Linked DNA regions of Canis lupus familiaris. The protein of the gene in region 1 binds, or shares a complex with, the protein of each later gene. Links are inferred from orthologs where the notes say so. Each region holds a gene or a part of one and is shown in the gene's direction. Other genes may lie near its edges.

Region 1 (3,561 bases):
CTGTTGCAGGTACCCAACTCTGCAGGAAAGTAGCCATGGGCCATACATTAAGAAATGAGCATGGCTGCATTCCAGTAAAACTTTATAAAAACAAGGGCAGCCCGGGTCATATCCATGACCCCCCCCCCGCCCCCCAGTCATATATCACAGTATGGATGTTCGGTAAACGTTCATAGGCTGAATTAAACAACCTACAAATGGAACTTTGTGGTTTGATTTTGCTACTTAGTGGGGTCCAGGGACAATTGCTGTTCATTCATATGTAAACCTGTTTCCAAGTCCTGTGTCAGCCCAGTCTTAACTGATGAGAATGGGGGCTCCTTTAGCCATGAGTTCCCCAAACAGCCAGAAGTCTGGTAGTACAGCCACCTGAGGGCTCCCAAGTTCAGACCCAAGGGATTTCAAAAGCATGTCCGACATGCTTTCTTTACTTTTGCTATATAAAACCAAATCTATTGCATCTTTTATTCATTGCGTGATATTCCTGCCTAATTGTCATGTAATATAATAGAAATAACACAAATCAGTAAATGTTACTATTAACTTGGCAAATTTTACTGTATCATGTTATAAAATATTTATGCATGTTATTCTTCATTTGAAATCTTTATATAAATTATTTTCATTTTTAAGTTTATATTATACATTTGTTGAATTTATTTGAATTCAAATATAGATTTTTATTTATTATTCTAAAGCTGTTCAGAATTCTTTATGCATTGATCATATAACTAAGCTAGGGTATAGCATATAAGAAATTGTTAAGTATTTATATTTTGGAAAATGACAACCTAAGTTTCAAAAATGGTTTCAAAAATATATTACATGTGATATGTAGGTAAAAACTTAAGTCTCGAGTGAGGAACTAACAAATAATTTTGTGGGGTAGGATATTTTGGTTTGTGTAAAATTTTAAAGAATACGTGAACATTTGTGGTTGATTTGAAGTATCTCCAAGATAATTCATTGTTATTTTCTATTAAAAAAAAAACTTTAGGGTCAGTTGGATCTCTTAAGGAGCAATACAGGCCTTCTGTATAGAATAAAGGATTCTCAGAATGCTGGGTAAGCACCTAATTTTTTTATTGTAAGAAACTTTAATTATTACAAATGTAACCTATGTTTTTTTGGGAAAAAGTCAACATAGAATTGCATAATGTAAACCTGTCCTGCATACCATCCCCACCTCTTATCATGAGTTCCATTTCTCAGAGATAACTGCTCTTAATAATTTGGTATATGTCCTTTCTTCTAGGTATATATATAAATATATAGAAATGATTATATATTTATATACTATATATAATCTCTTTTCTTTTTTTTTCTTTTTTTTTCTTTTTTTTTTTTAACAAAAATGGGATCATGCTATCCATACTGTTTTGCAACTTGTTTTTTTCACTTACTATATCTTGGACATCTTTTCATTCTGGTACATACAGCCCTGTCTCATTCTTTTTAAGGTAAGCCCTTCTTTTGGTAAATAAGTCAATGTGATGACCTTGTCTGCTAATTCATTAAAGTAATTATGTAGATTATTAGATTATCCTGTATCTCTTTGTCTTTTTAATTCTACTTTATTCCCCTGCAGTAAAATGAAAGGATCAGATAACCAAGAAAAACTAGTATATCAAATCATAGAGGATGCAGGAAATAAAGGTAAGCAGGTAAAGGAAGAAGCAGAAAAAGTCATCATCTTTAAGACCAGAAATAGGAACTGAGTTCTGGCTTCCCAGGATACAGATCCATATGTAGAGAATGCTTCCATGTATGTTAAAAGAAGGGGAAGTAGAAATATATAATATACATATGCTTGCAGGACACCCAGGTGTGATGCCGTTGCTGTTGCCTCAACGCAGGCAGGGGCTAGATGGCTGGGGGCCAGGATGGAAAGAAACTTCTGAATTCTGAACTGTGGGAATGTACTATCTATTCAAAATAAATCAGCTAAAACTTAAGGGTTTTTTTTTTTTTTTTTTTTCCCAATCCTCACTTTCTTTGACGGCCTTCATTTCTTTAACTTCATCTTATCTGTAACTTGTGGATAATCCATCTCTCTAGTTTTTGCAAAAACCAAAGGGATGTCCAGTGCAGTGTGGCAGTGTCTGACAGAGGTCCCTCAGCAACTGTTCAGTTTTTCTCTATCCCCTTACGGAACTATATCTAAATTGCTGTTAATCCTAGAGTTTAGGATCTGAGTCCAATGATAATTTCAACAATGTATCAACAATGATATAATTTGAAATATCATTCTTGTATTATTAGGTGTTTAATATTTTTAAAATAGACATGACAAAAGCCATTCTCTATTTTTAAAAAATCTATCTTCCTATCACATTATGCCTCTGTGCTGGGAAGAAAATAAGGTAACACATTTTCTTTTTCTTTTATTTTTTAATTTTTTTAATTTTTTTTTTAAGGTAACACATTTTCTATAAAATTCCACATACAACCCTTCTTTGAAATCCTACCTTCTTGTAAAGGGCTTTTAGTGGCTGTGAGAATTGCAGTCTTCCTTTTTTTCATCTCCTAAATATAGTGTATAAATAATGGGTATATATGCACACACATGTTCACATGCAGTTTTTTGCACTCTGTTGGCGGTGATAGCTGACCTTGGCCCAAACTTAAGTTATAATCTAAATACGATCTGAAGTATAAATAATAGGAAACAGAATTTGGGGTATAGGAGGGGGTGGAAGAGACAATAAGTTAATTCAGTAACATTCAAGATTTTTCTCCATTAAAAAGTATCTTTTTCATATGTTTTTAAAAAGGTGCCACACTAGGATTCCAAGAAATTTCTGGTTAGAAGACATAGCGCATAACTTCTTTTATCATTTTGCATACTTTTGTTGTTATCTGAGATTCTTACCTCTAAGTCACTGTTTTTCCTATAACTATGCCCTAGGAATAGTATACATATTTTGCTAGTTTTGGCACGTGGACTACAAACACAAATCCTATGGCGTTGAACTCATTTTACTTTACTTTCTTACAGGAATATGGAGCAGAGATATCCGATACAAAAGTAACTTGCCATTAACAGAAATTAACAAAATTCTAAAGAATTTGGAAAGTAAAAAGCTTATCAAAGCTGTTAAGTCTGTGGCAGTGAGTATTTTTCTCTTTCCTTCCCCCAAGTGTTCACTGTATGTGTATTGCTCCAAGTATGTTTCAAGATCTTCTTGTTCTTTAGGCTATGTCATGATTTAAAACTACTAGTCAAAAAGATTTTTAAAAATTTCGTTTATATTGAATTGGTTTGGAGATGTTACTTACATTTATCACTGCCTGGTTAATTCTTTGTGTCTTACCCCCTTGAAAAGGTAAAACTACTGTATTCTTCAGTAAAGAATTTTTGGAATCATGAACATTTTTCATGGATTTTCAGCGTGTAAGATAGTTTACTTCATTCTAGCAAATTAGATTACTCATTCAACAAATATCTATTGTGTGTTTGCTCTGTGCCAGGCACTGTTTGGGTGTTTGGGATACATTAATGAACAAGTCAGGGAAAGATCTCTGCCCTGATAAAGTGTCTCTTCTAGTATGTAGTATTTC
Region 2 (4,058 bases), on another chromosome or scaffold:
CTGAGCAGCCATGGCAGCGTCTTGTCTGCGTGACAGCTTGGACTGCAGGGTCCGCAGGGAGAGGGCGAGCACTTACGCATTATCTCTCCATCCATCTTGCACACGCGGACTGTCATCGCTTGGCCATATTCTAGTGCTATCTGGGAATTGACTTCTTCCAAAGTAACCTGCAGAAAGACCAATGGTGGAGGTGGGAGCCTTGGCTGCCTTTGCTATCCCAAACCACAAGACAAGACAAGCGGATAGCATCGGAAAAGCAGTGCCGTATCTTACGAAAGACGAGAGACAAGATTTCTTACTTCTATGCTAGGGTTTCCCGGTTGCACCTACATTTTAAAAGTGTTTAATGTGCAAAGTGCATTAAAGCTCAGGAAAAGAGGAGCGCTGAAACAGGAGAGGGTGAGCGCCAGATCTGGGCTCTGGGGCTGGGAAGGAGGAGGCGCGGTCAGTCCGGGATCCAGGGCGACACCGGGCGGGGGGGGGAGGGGAGGCCGGTGTGCGAGGGTGACCGGGGCGCCCAACCCAGGAGTGAACGTCCTCGGGCGGGGCGCGAATCTCGATGCGGAGTCCCGGGGTGGAGCCGTTCTCCCCACTTGAGCCTCAACTACGGAAACGACCTTAGAACCTGCACCTGCAGCGCAGCCGCGCCCGGGGCGCCCGGGGCGCCGTCGGGGTCCGCCTTGGGACCGGACGACCGTCCGCCTGTCCCTGTCCCCTGCTGCCCCCGCTCGTGCTCGGGTCAGTGAGGTCCTTAAAGGACACGGGAGAATCGAGGCCCGCCGCATCGTCACCTCTGGCGCCCACAGGGGGAGGTCAGGCACCGAGGTCCCGCCGCGCACCTGGATCGGGAGGTCGCAGAGCAGCGGGTCCTGCACCACCATGGCGAGCCCCTCCTGGAACACGTCCACCGCCTCGGAGTGCGGCAGCGCCTCCTCTTCATCCTCCTCGGCCTCGGGCGCCTCGGGCCGCGCCGCCGCCGCCTCCGCCTCGGCCTCGGCCTCCGCCGGCTCCAGGGCGCCCGCCCAGCCCCGCGCTCCGACCGCGCCGCCGCCGCTTCCGGCCGCGAGGGGCGGGGCTGCCACGGGGACCGATGGGAGGCTCGAGGCGGCCTGCCGCAGGGGCTGCTGGGAGCGCCAACCCGGCCCGGCCATTGGGGCGGCGGCGGCCCGGGCCAATGGGAGCTCGCGACGGGCCCGACGCCGGCGCCCCGCGGCCGCAGGGGCTGCCGGGAGCGCGCGGGGCAGCCATGCTGCTCTTCTGTCCGGGCTGCGGGAACGGGCTGATCGTGGAGGAGGGACAGCGCTGCCACCGCTTCGCCTGCAACACCTGCCCCTACGTGCACAACATCACGCGCAAGGTGATCACCCGCCGCCCCCCGCCCAGCAGCCGACGCCCGCCCCGCCGGGGTGCTCCAGCGGCCCCGCCCCCGCCCCCCGCCGTATCGGGAGCGGCCTGGCCTCACCCGGCTCCCGTGGCGGCGTCCCCGGCGGCGGCCCGGGCGGCCTCGTCGGAGCCGTGGCCGGATCAGGCCCGCCCTGTGCGCTGGCGCGGCTGACTGCGGGTCCGGGCCGACGCCGCCAGCCCCCGGGGAGCAGCCCGCGCCGCGCACCGACACGGCCGCCGGGCCTTTGCACGTGCTCCCGCTGCCCTCCCCGCCCCGCCCGCAGCCTCGCCGTGTTTGGGTCGTGCCGAGCAGCGTGGCTCTGGCGGACTCGGGTCACCTGCGGACACGCCTCTACGGGACTTGCGTGCCTGGGGTCGGTGCTGCGGCCCCAACCCGGGCCCTGGACGGAGCCGCGGCGCACCGCCCGCCCCGAGCTGCCCGCGGGAGTTGGGGCCGCCGCCGCGACGCCCGGGACGGAGCCGGGGGCCTGCGCGGAGGGCCCGGGCCGAGCGTGGACGGGGTGGGGTGGGGGGTCCCGGCTGCATCCGCCTCTTGGGCCGGCCCGACGCTGGAGCCCCTGGACCCGGGCCGAGCCCTGCGCCGCGGGTGTAGAGACGCGGCTGCCCAGGATCGTGCAGCCCGCGGGGAGGAGGGCAGTCGGCGGCCGGGTCAGCACCGCGCCCCTACCCGCGGCCTGAACACCTGCCGCCTTTCGCCAGGTCACCAACCGGAAGTACCCGAAGCTGAAAGAAGTGGACGATGTGCTCGGCGGCGCGGCGGCCTGGGAGAACGTGGACTCCACCGCAGGTGAGAGCTGAGGCCGCGCTGCCTTTGAGGAAGGAAGCTCCTAAAAATAGCGTGTGTATTTTCTTCTTTAGTGATTTATTTCTTACACAGGCAATATTGGCATAAACCCCAGAGACGTACAGGTGTGGGTTAGTCTCAAAGCCACAGCCTCTTAACATCGCATGACCTTGGTGGCCTCCCTCCGTTGTGAGAGCGTGAAGGGAGCCCCGCAGCACTTGGCCTCTAGCGTGGTCCTCAAGTGGCGGCTGTGCGGGGAGCAACCGATGGCAGTAATGAAAGTCGGAGCCTAAGGAAGAGTATATGGTCCATTTGTTCAGTTGTGGATCTTTTTTAAAATTAATTATCTCTAAAAAATATTTTATTTATGTATTCATGAGAGACGCAGAGACAGAGACACAGGCAGAGGGAGAAGCAGGCCCCATACAGGAGCCCGATGTGGGACTCGATCCTGGGACCCCCCGGGGTCACACCCTGAGCAGAAGGCAGATGCTCAACCACTGAGCCACCCAGGGATCCCTGGTGTAGATTTTTATTTTTAATTAATTAATTTATTCATTCATTCGTTTGTTTGTTTGTTTATTTATTTATTTATTTATTTATTTATTTTTCTTCCTGGTGTAGATTTTTAAAAGCTGATGGCAGAGAGCATTCACATGTTTATTTCAAGTCTTGTTTCCTGTCTGATAGAGGTAGATGTGACCAGGGAAGGAAAGAAGAGAGCCCTAAACACATCTGTGTTGAGCGGAGGAAGACCCAACTCCTGTTTAGTATTATCTTTTCTCCCCCATAGAAGAACATCTAAATCTGATATGGTAAAATTAGCATTGGCAGAATTTGCCAGGAAAGAAAAGAAGATGATTTTGGTACCTAATGTTCAAAGTGCTGTTTGTGAGTGTTTGAAGGCATTATCAAGCATAGGGTCAGTTTCCCGAACTGAAGTCACTTTGCCTTGAGGTATTTGGCAAAGGTGTGGGTTGTATGGTGAGGTCTTCATAAGAACGGCCTGAGGAACTGCTGCCGAGATGGATCCCTAAATTTAATGGGAAGTGGATTTGTCATCCCCTGGGGGCTCCTCCAGGAAGTTGAGAGGGCTTAGGTGATGGAGATGCACTTGGAAGAATCTGCCCAGAGTGGACCCCATCATGCACATGGTAGCCATAAGCCACATTTCATGTCACATTTCCAGCTAGTCTTCAACCAGATTTGAGAAGAAAAATGGGACTCAGGGAGGGGAGCAGGAGTGTTTTCCAGGGTCACAAGTCCCCTCAGTGTGAGAGTGTAGTGGGAATGATGCCACTAATTACAGCCTTTCAGTCATGGCGCAAGGTGCCCTAGGCAGGGGATGCCAGATGATTGGGGTCGGGGAGGGATTTGGTGTGTTAATACCTACCTACTTCTAGCAGGTGTGTTTGGTCATGAGCATAATGTGGGTCACTTGTTTTTCTCGTTGCCAGAGTCATGTCCTAAATGCGAACATCCTCGTGCCTATTTCATGCAGCTTCAGACTCGCTCTGCAGACGAGCCGATGACCACCTTCTACAAGTGCTGCAATGCTCAGTGTGGACACCGCTGGAGGGACTAGGGCCAGGATCCAGCTGTGTCATTGTCTGCCTACCTTGTTCCCTAGGGTGGATTCACAGCCAGGAGTGTGAACTGTTTGTCCTGAACTGTCTCTGCTGATGTGGCCAAAAGCTAACCCTTTCACGGGAGCTGGTCAGGGTACCAGCCCATCTGGCAGTCAGCGGATGAGCTCATTTATATCCAGGGGGATTGTGTGTGCAGGGAAGGGTATACATAAGTAAGTGTGTTCTTTTTAATATCCTGTTTGTGGATCTTGTAGGTATATTGGCTAATTGACATCTTTTCA

Evidence for each region. The genes of interacting proteins can lie anywhere in the genome.
Region 2: POLR3F (region 1) and POLR3K share a complex: the UniProt entries of both Homo sapiens proteins name them as parts of the RNA polymerase III complex. The link is inferred for Canis lupus familiaris from reciprocal best matches to the Homo sapiens genes POLR3F and POLR3K.

The regions. Positions count from the first base shown.
Region 1 is NC_049245.1:5,111,752-5,115,312, reverse strand, and holds part of POLR3F (DNA-directed RNA polymerase III subunit RPC6), read left to right. Parts: intron 1-997; coding exon 998-1,065; intron 1,066-1,439; coding exon 1,440-1,460; intron 1,461-1,588; coding exon 1,589-1,656; intron 1,657-2,998; coding exon 2,999-3,111; intron 3,112-3,561. UniProt on the Homo sapiens protein: DNA-dependent RNA polymerase catalyzes the transcription of DNA into RNA using the four ribonucleoside triphosphates as substrates.
Region 2 is NC_049227.1:40,886,516-40,890,573, forward strand, and holds the start of POLR3K (DNA-directed RNA polymerase III subunit RPC10), read left to right. Parts: upstream 1-1,197; 5' UTR 1,198-1,246; coding exon 1,247-1,357; intron 1,358-2,103; coding exon 2,104-2,191; intron 2,192-3,645; coding exon 3,646-3,773; 3' UTR 3,774-4,058. Other genes in the region: SNRNP25 (U11/U12 small nuclear ribonucleoprotein 25 kDa protein), read right to left, coding at 77-167, 840-881. UniProt on the Homo sapiens protein: Core component of RNA polymerase III (Pol III) which synthesizes small non-coding RNAs using the four ribonucleoside triphosphates as substrates. Can mediate Pol I proofreading of the nascent RNA transcript.